3 linked regions of the Cricetulus griseus genome follow. Each later gene encodes a partner of the first gene's protein in a complex. Links are inferred from orthologs where the notes say so. Each region holds a gene or a part of one and is shown in the gene's direction. Other genes may lie near its edges. The genes, in order: Tert, H/ACA ribonucleoprotein complex subunit 1 and Wrap53.

Region 1 (3,503 bases):
TTCATTATTTTGAAAATGCAGGCATTTTCTATTTATATTGCTATTTTTTTCTTTATTAATAAATTTTTATTTAAATTAAAAACAATCTTATTTTACATACCAATCCCGGTTCCCTCTCCCTCCCCCCACCAACTCCTCATCCCACCCCCACCCACTCCCCAGGGATGGTGAGGCCTCCCATGGGGGTTCATTAGAGTCTGTAACATCATTTGGGGCAGGACCTAGGCCCCCCTACCCCACCCCCCCGGTGTATCTAGGCTGAGAGAATATCCCTCCATAAGGAATGGGTTCCCAAAGTCCATTTGTGCACTAGGGATAAATACTGGTTCCACTGCCAGCTGCCTCATAGACAGCCCAGACCTCCGAACTGACACCCACATTCAGGGGATCTGGTTCAGTCCTATGCTGGTTCCCCAGCTGTCAGACTGGGGTCTGTGAGCTCCCTCTTGCTCAGGTCATATTGCTATTCTTTTCTAGGTTAATTCTTGTACTTTAATTTCTCTGGGTGACTTTACTCCTAGTACTATAGCAAACCAACTTGGCACATGGGTTTTTGGGGTTTTTTTGTGCTACTACTATATGTTAATTGTACATAATAATGGGTTTTGTTATGACATCTTTATGCACAAGTATAATGCATTTTGACCATATTCATACACGCAGCCTAACATGGGAAATTATAAGGTTCAAAGCCAGTGTGCAGTCTCCACATATGAGAGCATGAAACAGAAGTATTGCAAGTTTGAGGACAGCCAGCATTACTCAGAGACCCCAGTGTTCACACGTCTGGACGTCTTACACCTAGCATGCTAGGAATTGTTCCTGTGCTGTCAGTAGATGGTGCTGTATTCCTTCTGGTGACATCGTGTCTAGAGACATGGATCTTGGTGGCCACTGGATAAAAAGCAGGCATCCTAAAGAGTCTGTTGCAGGAGATGAAGGAGCCATCCCCTCCCTAATCCTGTCAGCTCTTCCTCCTGACTGCCGCTGTCTCTGTGGAGAAGTTGGGATGCTACTTGTGTTGTGACCATCGGTAACCACAGCATTATGGGGGTGTCTGACCCAAGGAGAGCTGACTGTGGTGCAACCTGCTGTTTCTGTGGCTCTTCCTGCTAGGGTGCTAGATTCTCCCTTTTCCTGTTAAGACTCTAGGATGGAGTGGTCCCACACTGTTCTATTGTTGAACTGTGCTGTGGCAGTCCTGGCCAGAAAACCATGTGCCCCTCTGGTTCCCCTCAAGTGTTTACCTCTTCTGTGCTGCAGGTCTCCACCCTCTCTGACCTCCAGCCACACATGGGCCAGTTCGTGAGGCATCTTCAGGACTCAGATACCAGTGCGCTGAGGAACTCCGTTGTCATTGAGCAGGTCCTTGGGCTCCCCATTAATCGGCCGCACCTGGTGGGGCCTTCCTCCTCTACTTGGCTATTTGCTTCAGTGTAGGAATGTGACCAAGGTATTCCTTGGTGGAGAGTTCCCATGACCAAGGCCACTCTTTCCTGGTGGCAGTCCCCATCCCTATGACATGACCTAGACTCCCCAATAGCTACTAAGGTGGGCATGCTCTGAAGTGCCCTTTATACCCTCGTCCCCCATACTCCACTGATCTACTAGTGAACTGGTAAAAATATCTTCTCCCTCAGTTTTGACCTTGAGACCATAGTTTTATTTTAGTGGGCAAATTGGACTTGATCTGTGGTCCCCATCTTGGCCCATTCAGTTTACCTATGCCACACCTAGGAGATCTCCTCCCACAAATCAGTGGTTCTACAGAACTTCCTTTGTACATATCCTGACTTTGGGGCAGCCATGCTCACTGAGACCTTTGGATGGTTTTCCTTTAGCTCAGTGGGGTGCTGTGTGAGCTCCAAGTTCCCCAACCTAGTGCTGTAGAAATATAATAGGTTACATTGCCACTTTGTAAGTTACATACCCTGTCACCTTGAGTCAATTTCTTCCTGGCCATGCAGGGACACTTGACCCTGGCCCCACCCCTACTTTACCATGAACATTTTGGTCTTACAGGGTCATCTGGTGGCAGAGTTCTGCATCCTCCCACTCATCTGTCCACATGTGTCTGCTTTTCTAGAGCTTATCTCTGAGTGAGGCCAGCAGCAGCCTGTTTGACTTCTTCCTGCACTTTGTGCATAACAGTGTTGTGAAGATCGGTGGCAGGTAGGCACAGGCGTAGGGCAAGTGGGCAGAGGCTGGGCAGGTACAGATAGAGACCATCCTGACTGCTGAGCAGGGTGCTTGCTAACTGGCTACAGCACTTAGAAGCCTATCTGACTGGCTCCCTCTGCCTCATTGCTTCCTCCCCACTCCCCTTCATAGAATTTTCTTGCCCTTCTGCTGACTGGGCCACGGGGCTGCCTACCCATGAGGCCCTGGGAGTTCCTGACTAAGCATGGTCCTAATGAAGTTAATAATTTTGTATGCCTCGAGTTCCTGTTGTTACTTTGACAAAGTGGCAGGGGCACCTCACCTGTTTAGCCAGGCATGAGACACATGTAGACACATGAGACACATCAACAAAGAGAGTGCAGTGCCTATGGCTGAGTCCCCCAGAGACTCCCATGAGTTATAAGCCAGAGCAGGTACCCTTTGAAAAGCACTGCTGTAGTGAAGGGAACCCAGACTGGCTCAGTGCTAGAGCTGTCTAACAGCCCATCAGCCTGCAAAGACCTACTTTGTATGTCTGGATCAGATGTGAGGTTGAATATTTGAGCATTTGGTTGCATCTTCTGTACCCAAAGTCCCCACTTAGAGAATGGAATGCACTTGGCACCTTTTTGCTGGACTGATAGGAGCCTACACAATGAGTGCCAATACAGAACAGAATTCCAGGCTCACACCCAGGATTATTAGAGATGAGGGCAGGCAGGACAAGAAATATCTGACTATCAAAAGTCACAGTATGTGTTGGGCTGTAATTGGAAATGTTTGATATGCATGCTGGGAAACCACAAGCTACAAGCATGCAACTGGGTGTTTTTTTCACAAACACCACAAAGGGTGCTCCTGAGTCCTGATAATACTGAGCACAGATTTGTGAGTCTGTGTCCATGTGGTAGATAACTTAGTCCTAGTGTGGGTCAGCCAGATACACTGAGAAGTCAGGTCTGTGTACACCATGCCTGGAGAGCTTCCTAACAGATACTCTAGCCAAGGGGACTGAGTCTGTGCAAGGGGTCAGCTCATACCTACTCTTTCTCACACACGGGTTCCCTGGGTAAGTTCCCTGCCTGACCATCTGAAGGTACCCACCCCTGCCGGCACCCACCCCTGCTGGCACCCACCCATGTATGTTTGATTGAAGGGTGCCATTAGGTTCTCTGTGAAGAAGGCACTGACAATTTTACATGGCTATGACCCAGAATGTCCTTCCACTAATAATCTGTTACTAATTGTCCCAGATAAATATTCAGTTCAAGAGCCTGATTGCTTATCATTAATGTTTAAAATCTAAAAATTTTAAATAAAAAAAAAACAACCTGGAGTCAGTG
Region 2 (4,254 bases), on another chromosome or scaffold:
CATTGACTACTTTTCCAGAGCCCCTAGGTTCAATTCCCAGCATCCATATGGTACCTCACAACTGTCTGTAACTCCAATTCTAGGGGACCTGACACCCTCACACAGACATACATGCAGGCAAAACACCAATGCACATAAAATAAAAATAAATTATTAAAAAAAGAAGGGAGAGGGAAAAGAATGGACTCGTGAGAAATTGAGGTTTTAGTTTCCCCCTTCACAAGCTAGGGAAGTTTCTTCTCTCTTCTGGCTGTCAGTTCCTTACTTATATATAAAATGGTCAGCTGCCAGGTGTTCCTGAAGGTCTTGTACAAGTTAAATGGTTTTGTCATATTGAGTTGGAGACAACAGTGGGACATCAAATGCAGATACAAACATTGAACTTAATGTTAGATGACAATGTCAAAATGAAAGATACAAATAACTCTAGCCTCCCATGATGTACCTACATACATACATACATACATACATACACATACATACATAATATCCAGCTGCATTTAAAATACATTTGCCAAATTCTTTTTATATGTGGGGCTAGTATGTACTTCAAGAAGTTTATAGTTCAGGGTAAATGACATACTTGAATTCCTAATGTTTCTATCAAAGATCTTTCAAAATTTTATTCACAATAACTCTTTGCTATGGGGATCAACCTTTGCCTTCGAAATTTCACAGCAAAGGTGGTATTGTCAAGAGATGTTCCAGGCAATTTGGATATAAGATAAGTCAGTCAAATTTAATAGCTAGAGTTCACTTCCTTTATTATGTTTTCGTGATGTGGGGAAACCGATATCAGAGTCTTAATAAGAGGGTCAAGAAGACGGAAGGTGAGGTGCGTCTATAGGCTGGTACCCAGTCTGTCGGTGTTCCAAACGTGTTACCTGGGACTAAATATTAAAAGATGGTTCTCTCTCTCTCTCTCTCTCTCTCTCTCTCTCTCTCTCTCTCTCTCTCTCTCTCTCTCTCTCTCTCTCCCTCCCCCCCTCTCTCTCTGTCTGTCTCTCTCTCTCCCTCCCTCCTTCCCTTTCTCCTTATTTTAATAATAACATGACAAAAAACAATATAGCATACAGAGTTACATAGTTTTGGGGGAGGGGCAAGAAACTGCAAAGGACACACAGTTGGCGGTCCCAGGTTCTACCTGAGAGGCGGCCACCCCAGATCTGTGGAGCTGAGTCAGGTCGGGACCTTCTCGCAGCCAAGCCAGCACGTCTGGGGGTCAGAAAGCCTCACCAGCTATTAGGACGGAAGGATCCAGACTCCCGCTGTCTCCAAGGGCAACGCGCTACCACACTTCCGGAAACGTCGCGTACGGAGGGCACTGCTATTTTGCGTCACTTCCGCTACCCCGGCCTGTGCGGTTCTGGGCAGGATTACGCTGGACGGGATTGTTTCTCTTCCGGTGCTCTACCCCGTGTTAGGGAAAGCATCAGGGCCGCTGCGTCGGCCAGTGACAGGCTCTTCCCGCCGGCCAGCCCTCCGCGTTTCTGGTCGGGTAAGCCTGTGCCGGTACGGTGGCCGAGGAGGTCTGAGCGCGCCGGAAGTGTTGGCGGGCGCTCGCGGCTCGCTGGGCTAGAGACGCACGTGGCGCGGTGAGTGCGGCGCGGGCCGAGGGTGTGGGGAGGCGGCGGCCGGGATGTGGCGGCGGCGGCGCTGGGCCGCGGACAGCCGGGTCTCGGCGCCCCTCGCTGGCTGTGTGGCGAGCGGCAGGGCAGCGGCAGTGCTGCCCTCCCTTCGGTGGCCTGGGTGAGCCCCAGGGGACGGATGGATGCTCCGAGGCCGCAGTGACCAGGAGCGGGCCTTCTTTTTCACCAGGCCGCACACAACATGTCTTTCCGAGGCGGAGGCCGCGGAGGCTTCAGTCGCGGCGGCGGCGGCGGCGGCGGCTTCAACCGTGGCGGCGGCAGCAATAACCACTTCCGAGGGGGAGGCGGCGGCGGCGGCGGCAATTTCAGGGGCGGCGGCCGAGGAGGATTTGGACGAGGGGGCGGACGTGGAGGTTTTAATAAATTCCAAGATCAAGGGCCTCCGGAACGTGTCGTCTGTAAGTGGCCTTCAGAGCTTAGTCTCCTTTGCAGTGGGAGTGGAGTCTGTAGGAAATGATCAAAAAACAGACTGATTCAAGTTTATAGGCTGGGGAAAAGGAAGACTAGTCAGGGAAATATAATGTTTAATGAAATTGTAAAAAGTCATAGCAGGGTAACTGGCGCCAGGCACTGTTCTAATTACTTGGTCTGTCTGGTTACGCATGTATTAGGTATGGCTGCAGTTACATGTGACTAGCTTCATGTACAGGGTATAGAGAGAAGGGAGGTCTCTTCTAGGTTCCACAGTAATGGCGTGCTAACGTAGTACCACAGTGTTGATAACTAAGCTCTACCTTGGAAATCAGATAGTGGGAACGACCAAGTGGTCAAGAATGCTTCCAGCACAGTTGATCAGTATCTTAATGATTCCATGTCTATTTTCTTGTGCTGTTTCAGTATTAGGAGAGTTCATGCATCCCTGTGAAGATGACATCGTTTGTAAATGTACCACAGAGGAGAATAAGGTGCCTTACTTCAACGCTCCTGTTTATTTAGAAAACAAAGAACAGATCGGGAAAGTAGATGAGATATTTGGACAACTGAGAGATTTTGTATCCTTTCTAATGGGATGAGCCAGTGATCTCATTGAAGAATTATTTTCCCTCCCCTCCCCAGCCATTTAAATATCAGGTGAAGCAAACTTACTGCTTCATTTAGTAGATAGCAATGCTCCAGACAGGCCATAAAGAGAATCTGTAGGAGAGAATGCATTCATGCACATTTAGAAGTGATGAACCAAGGGGAGATCACTGTCCTTTTGGAAAGTTCTGGGAATGGTGGCCATTTGTATACATGCCACAGGATTGTATTGGCTCTGCTGTTGCTTTACTGGAATATCCTGGTAGACTTGGGGGATACAGATTGTGTTTTTCTAAAGAAAATATAATCTCCTCTTGGAAATTTCTTACTTTTATAGCCAGGCATTCTTTTTAAAATGCTTAAACTCAAAAGTTTAATACCTTTTTACATCTTTCTCACTTGTTCCTTAATGTAATTAATAGTATTTTTCAGTTAAGTTGTCAGAAAACATGAAGGCATCTTCCTTTAAAAAGCTTCAAAAGGTGAGTCAAAATTACAATTAAAGTTCTTAGACTCAGAAGAGAATGTTGTGTCTTACAGATAGTCTTACTTGAGGCCCTTACTGCCCCTCCACTGTGTTGTAGCAAAGTTCTGAAGCTGACGTGTAGTTCACAGACAAGCATTGAGTTTCCTTTCTCCAGGTGTCTCAGTGCTGTAGCCCCAGGTGAACTGGAACTCACTTGTTGAGACTTGGTTGTCTTTTAACTTGCCTGTTTCCTGGGTGCTGGGATTACAGGTATGTGCTGTCACACTCAGTCTAAGCATAAGAGTCTTGAAAAGTAATGTTTTTGGCAAGAGTTGGTGATGTAAGCCAATAGTCCCAGCACTTGGAGGCAGAGAGGCAGGAGGATAGCTGCTTTGAGTCTAACTTATGCCACAAATTGAATTCCAGGCCATCCTGAGATAAATACTAATAAATCTGTCTCAAAAACAGATAATTCACAGCTGTAGATAAGACACTAAAGGATTTCACAGGTATTGTGTTAACATGGTATAATCTGTTTAAAACAGTAAAAGGTTGACCTGAAACTAGAGTGGGACCAAATTTCATCCTAGCCTTCTTTGAAGTGCTGCTTTTGAAACTGAAAGCTAAAAGTTAACCAGGAAAGAGTCTTACATCACAGATACCTGAGGATAGCTCTTAAGGTGACATCCTTTTGGGTCCCCTTACAAATTTGACTCTTTTTGTTTTTCGAGACAGGGTTTCTCTGTGTAGCTTTGGAGCCTATCCTGGCACTCTCTCTGGAGACCAGGTTGGCCTGGAACTCACAGAGATCCGCCTGCCTCTGCCTCCCAAGTGCTGGGATTAAAGGCGTGTACCATCAATACCCAGCTCAGTTACTCTTAAGTAGTAGCACCTTCAATGCAGTTTCAGGAAAGAAGGCTGGAAAATTTTGATGTAGTTAGGCAGTATTTAAGCATTGGGCTAGCCAGAGAGCAGGGAGTGTGTTCATAGAGAAAACTGAAGTATCAGGATGGCAGCCTGCAGAAGCGTTTAGGACAGGGAAGGTTCTGAATTAAAGGACTGGTGTGGTAGGAAGGAGCTTCCTAAGTCATGAGAAAGAAATTAGGTTTTAGTGTTAAC
Region 3 (4,232 bases), on another chromosome or scaffold:
CTTCCAGTCTAAAACTTTAAGGGTAGTCATTTGTACATTTCTCTGTAAACCTGAATTTCTAGTCTTCCTGTGAGTTTACCTGAAGCCACGAAAAGAAAATTTCCTATCTATTGTTCACTTATTCTTTAGACTAAAATCACTAAACCTTCAGAGGGAAAGAAATTTATTCCCCTTCCCAAGTGCTGTGTGGAAATAGTACTTTTACAAAAAAGAAAAGAAAAAGACATGCACAATTTCTGGTGCTCAACAAGAAACTGCAATACAATGACCTGCTCTTCAGACTGAAGATGCAGTAGCAGGCAATATGTATATCGTGGCAGCCTTGCCATTATAAGAATCGTCCTGTACTGGCCGACTGCACTTAGGACCTCTGGGCGCCCCTGGCCAAGGCCCGCCCCTTCCGCTCTCAGGACGTGAGGAATGCGTTCAGCAAGGGAATGGCTCACCCCAAGACCGGATACTCGGTAATTTGTTTTTCCGGCACGAACAAACGACCTATTCCCACACTCTATTAAATAAACACCTCCTCCTCTGCAAAAGTAATAACGAAGTAATCCAGGAAAATGCGATGATCGAGGGTGGCAGTTTCCCTTCCTCAAGCACCAGCCAGGAATACATTTTTTTTTCCCATTCCTACTCCCCTCTGGTCGAGTGATCGATGAGCTGCTCCGGAAAAACCGGAAATGCTCCTGCAAGCGGCAGAAATGCAAACAATAACAGGGTCGGCGGGCCTTTCAGATCCAGACAATTAGTTCGGGCCACAAATGCAAACACTTCTCACTAGCGAGACTGACAGTTTTTCTTTGGACTTTCTTCGACTAGCAGGGTTGGGGTGGGGCTGGAAAAAAAAAATCACTCCAGGAACAAAGGTCCGGAAGTTGGAGACCTTAACAGCAGGACTTCCCGGATCACCCCGATTTAATTAAGGAATGGAGCCCGAGATTTCATTAGGATGCTAGGGGCTCTAAAGTCTTAAGCTGTGAATCTTGAAAGATCTCACATCACAGTGCTTTGTGCATGTTATTCCTGGGGCTTCCACCACCCAGCAGCTAGTCGATAAGTGTGTGGCGGGGAGAAAAGCGCCGGCTCAGTGGTCCCCAAATTCTCTATGTACTTCTTCTCAGGTGTTCGGCTGCTTGGTCCTAGCATCCCCACCATCTACATTCATCTACATCATGCTCAAGATTGTATTCATGGTCATCTCGCCCGCCAAGTTTCCATTCACCCCACCTCGCCCAACCTGCTGAGTCCCCCACTGCCCCACCCCCCAAACCCCGCGATTCTCTCTAGCCTCCAATTATGCGAACCGAGAGCCGGTGACTCAGAGAGGACTCATCAGGCTCACCCGGTAACTTACCAGGTCTTCAGGGGGGAGCGTGTTACCCCGCTGGGAAGTAGATTCCGGACCCGGATGCCAGGGACCCCCTGATCCCAATAGCTACCTGCAGCCAGGATGGTAGACTCCAGCACAAAACTTTTCAGGAGCACATGGGAGGGGAAAGTCCCTATCCCAGCATTCCTCGCGAGACTGCTGGCACAAAGCTGGATAGTCGCCATGACAAGTAAGGGCAAGCCATTCTGTGGGTGGAGGGCAAGAAGCGGAGGGGAGGGGCAGTTACACAGCCGGGATTCTTTCTGCGTTGTTGCCATCCATTCGATCGCTTTGTGAGAAGTACTCTAAGACGGAGCTGTGAGGGCAAAACTGGTGGAAACCGCTTCGGAAGAGCGCTGAACACTGCTCTTTCCGATCTAGCTGTATAGTTGGAGTCGTCTTCTTTTTGGCTTTTTGAAACAGTGTCTTTATAGCCAGGCTGGCCTCGAACTCGCGGCAGCCCAACTGCTTTAGCCTCCCACGTATAGGGATGAGCCAACGCGGGCAGCGGTTTTTTTTTTTTTTTTTTTTTCTCACCAGCTAAAATGTCACTTTAGAAAGGCTTTTCTTAATATCTCAATCTAACGTGTTCTCCAAGATACTTCATATCACACCATCTTGTTTAATTTCCTGTACAGTCCTTATCACTATCTGTGGAGAGTGTTTTCACAGCCTTCAATTGCACAGCCACGACAATTTTATGGGCATAGAGAATTTGCAAATTGTTTTCTCTAGTTCCTCGTATGCTGCTGGGTAGGAAGTAAGAGCGTGATAATAAATGTTGAAAGGAAGAAGGGAGGGAGGGGGGAAGGAAGGGAGGTGGGATGGACAGGATGGGAGAATGAAGGGAGGGAGAGTGGGAGAAGAGGGAGAGAGGGAGAAAGGAAATCTTTTGAGGTTGCCCGACTCAAAACGAGATTCAAGAAGGGCAAAACTGTAGAAATTCAGCGCCCTCTGCAGGTCATGGAGGGAAGGTACCTTAAGAATCACCCCAGCGGACGGTAGGGGGAACGCGTGTACTCTTCTCCAAGTCAAAGAGAAGACTACAACTCCCAGAATCCTCTAAGAATTCTCTAGCGCTTGAGGGCTGGGCCCCCTCGTTCCTTCCCGCCTCACCGCTCAGACGCTAATTAGGATGCAGAGAACCAATTGGAAGGTGGCCCGACTCCCGCGAGAGCAAGAAGCGCTGGCGGCGCGTAGCGACCCCAGGTGCTTTGCTCTCTGCTTTGGTTTCCCGGTGTTTGCTCACTGTTGCTGGCTTCGGCTTACTCTTCCCGGAAGAGTAAGGCAGGCACGTTGGGGCTGTGCAGTTCTGCACCCGGATTCCTGGGGACTTTAATGCAGTGTGGCCTCAGCAGCTGGCAGCCGGTGCAACGAGGCTTGCCCGGCCCCTGACCTCCTAGCTTGCTCTACAGAATGAAGACGTCGGAGGAGCGACTCTTAGTCCCGGACAGTCTCTCTTCTGACCAGGCCCCAGCTCCAGTGCCCCAAGGGACCCCTGTGGATGAAAATACAGACTCTGAACCGGTGCCACCGCCATGCGGTGGAGATGACCGACCCCAGGTAGCCACAGATTCTGTGGCTGGCTCGGTTGTGTTCCAGGATCCGCAACAAGGGGATCTAGTTCCTCCCTCCGCTCCCCTGGAAGTAGGGTTTAATACTCCCGGTGAGTCGAGCCCTCGAATCGAGGAGCAAGAACTTTCTGAAAATGCGAGCCTTCCTGTGACAGAAACGAATCGGCCTGAGTTGGAGTCAGGAGAAGCCGTGGAAGATGTGTCTGAAGAACCCGGTCAAGTGGATGAGGGAGACACGTAAGTGACTCTGGAGTCCGAGGAGCCTGGACATAGGAAAACGACAGCCTCCAGTCCTCAGCTCCGCCCCAGGCCCATTTTGCTGTAACTTACCCGTTTGTTGTTCTCCATCTCTTTTCTAGCTTTTGGACCTACAGCTTTTCACAGGTACCCCGATACCTCAGCGGTTCCTGGTCCGAGTTCAGCACCCACTCTGAGAACTTCTTAAAAGGTTGTAAGTGGTAAGTACAACGGGCAGGGAGATGACCACCTTCAGGGTTTTCATCTTAAAGCCCACCCGTATTTGACCCGTCGTAGTTGGACAGCCCTGTAATCTCAACATCTTGGAAACAGGGAGGATTGGGGGTTGGAGGTCTGCCTTGTCCATAGAGTGAGAGACCCTGTCTTAAAATAAGAACAAAAACTAGTCTGGGTGGTGGTGGCACATGCCACTCGGCAGAGAGGCAGGAGGATCTCTGAGTTCAGAGGCCAGCCTGGTCTACAGAGCGAGTTCTGTGTAGCCAGGGCTACACAGAAAACCCTGTCTCAGAAAAAAAAAAAAAAACAAAAAACAAAAACACAAACAAACATACTTATCTGGAGGTGGTTAAGGAATAAGAATACTGGTTAGTACCCAGGTTAAGGGTTTTTTCTTTTCATTGTCCTGTCGATCTTTCCTTCCATTTCTAGTACTGTGGATTTAGCCTAGGGTGTCCATCATGCTCGCCTGACCCTCACCAGTAGGCTACATCCTAGACTTTTTTTTTTTTTTTTGCTTTGTTTTGAGATACGGCCCTGCCAAGTTGTCCAGACTGGCCTGGAACTTGAGGTCCTCTGCCTCAGTCTCTCAGTAGCTGTGTGCCACCACTCTCCGCATGAGCTGAAGTTTTACCTAGGACTGATTGGTGTCTTCTCAAGGGCATATGTACTAAGATAGTTCTAGACCTACACCTGGAAATCATAGGTCTGTTCAGTTTTCTAATTTCCCTATGTTTTTAGGGCTCCTGATGGTTCCTGTATCTTGACCAATAGTGCTGATAACACTCTGCGGATTTACAACCTGCCCCCAG

Evidence for each region.
Region 2: Tert (region 1) and H/ACA ribonucleoprotein complex subunit 1 share a complex: the UniProt entries of both Homo sapiens proteins name them as parts of the telomerase holoenzyme complex. The link is inferred for Cricetulus griseus from reciprocal best matches to the Homo sapiens genes TERT and GAR1.
Region 3: Tert (region 1) and Wrap53 share a complex: the UniProt entries of both Homo sapiens proteins name them as parts of the telomerase holoenzyme complex. The link is inferred for Cricetulus griseus from reciprocal best matches to the Homo sapiens genes TERT and WRAP53.

The regions. Positions count from the first base shown.
Region 1 is NC_048595.1:368,311,075-368,314,577, forward strand, and holds part of Tert (telomerase reverse transcriptase), read left to right. Parts: intron 1-1,263; coding exon 1,264-1,365; intron 1,366-2,086; coding exon 2,087-2,172; intron 2,173-3,503. UniProt on the Homo sapiens protein: Telomerase is a ribonucleoprotein enzyme essential for the replication of chromosome termini in most eukaryotes. Active in progenitor and cancer cells. Inactive, or very low activity, in normal somatic cells.
Region 2 is NW_023276806.1:29,074,882-29,079,135, forward strand, and holds the start of H/ACA ribonucleoprotein complex subunit 1, read left to right. Parts: upstream 1-1,452; 5' UTR 1,453-1,595; intron 1,596-1,815; exon of another isoform or gene 1,816-1,818; 5' UTR 1,819-1,830; coding exon 1,831-2,047; intron 2,048-2,486; coding exon 2,487-2,641; intron 2,642-3,091; coding exon 3,092-3,151; intron 3,152-4,254. UniProt on the Homo sapiens protein: Required for ribosome biogenesis and telomere maintenance. Part of the H/ACA small nucleolar ribonucleoprotein (H/ACA snoRNP) complex, which catalyzes pseudouridylation of rRNA.
Region 3 is NC_048600.1:83,418,849-83,423,080, reverse strand, and holds the start of Wrap53 (telomerase Cajal body protein 1), read left to right. Parts: upstream 1-1,431; 5' UTR 1,432-1,488; coding exon 1,489-1,562; intron 1,563-2,787; coding exon 2,788-3,183; intron 3,184-3,305; coding exon 3,306-3,404; intron 3,405-4,161; coding exon 4,162-4,232. UniProt on the Homo sapiens protein: RNA chaperone that plays a key role in telomere maintenance and RNA localization to Cajal bodies. Specifically recognizes and binds the Cajal body box (CAB box) present in both small Cajal body RNAs (scaRNAs) and telomerase RNA template component (TERC).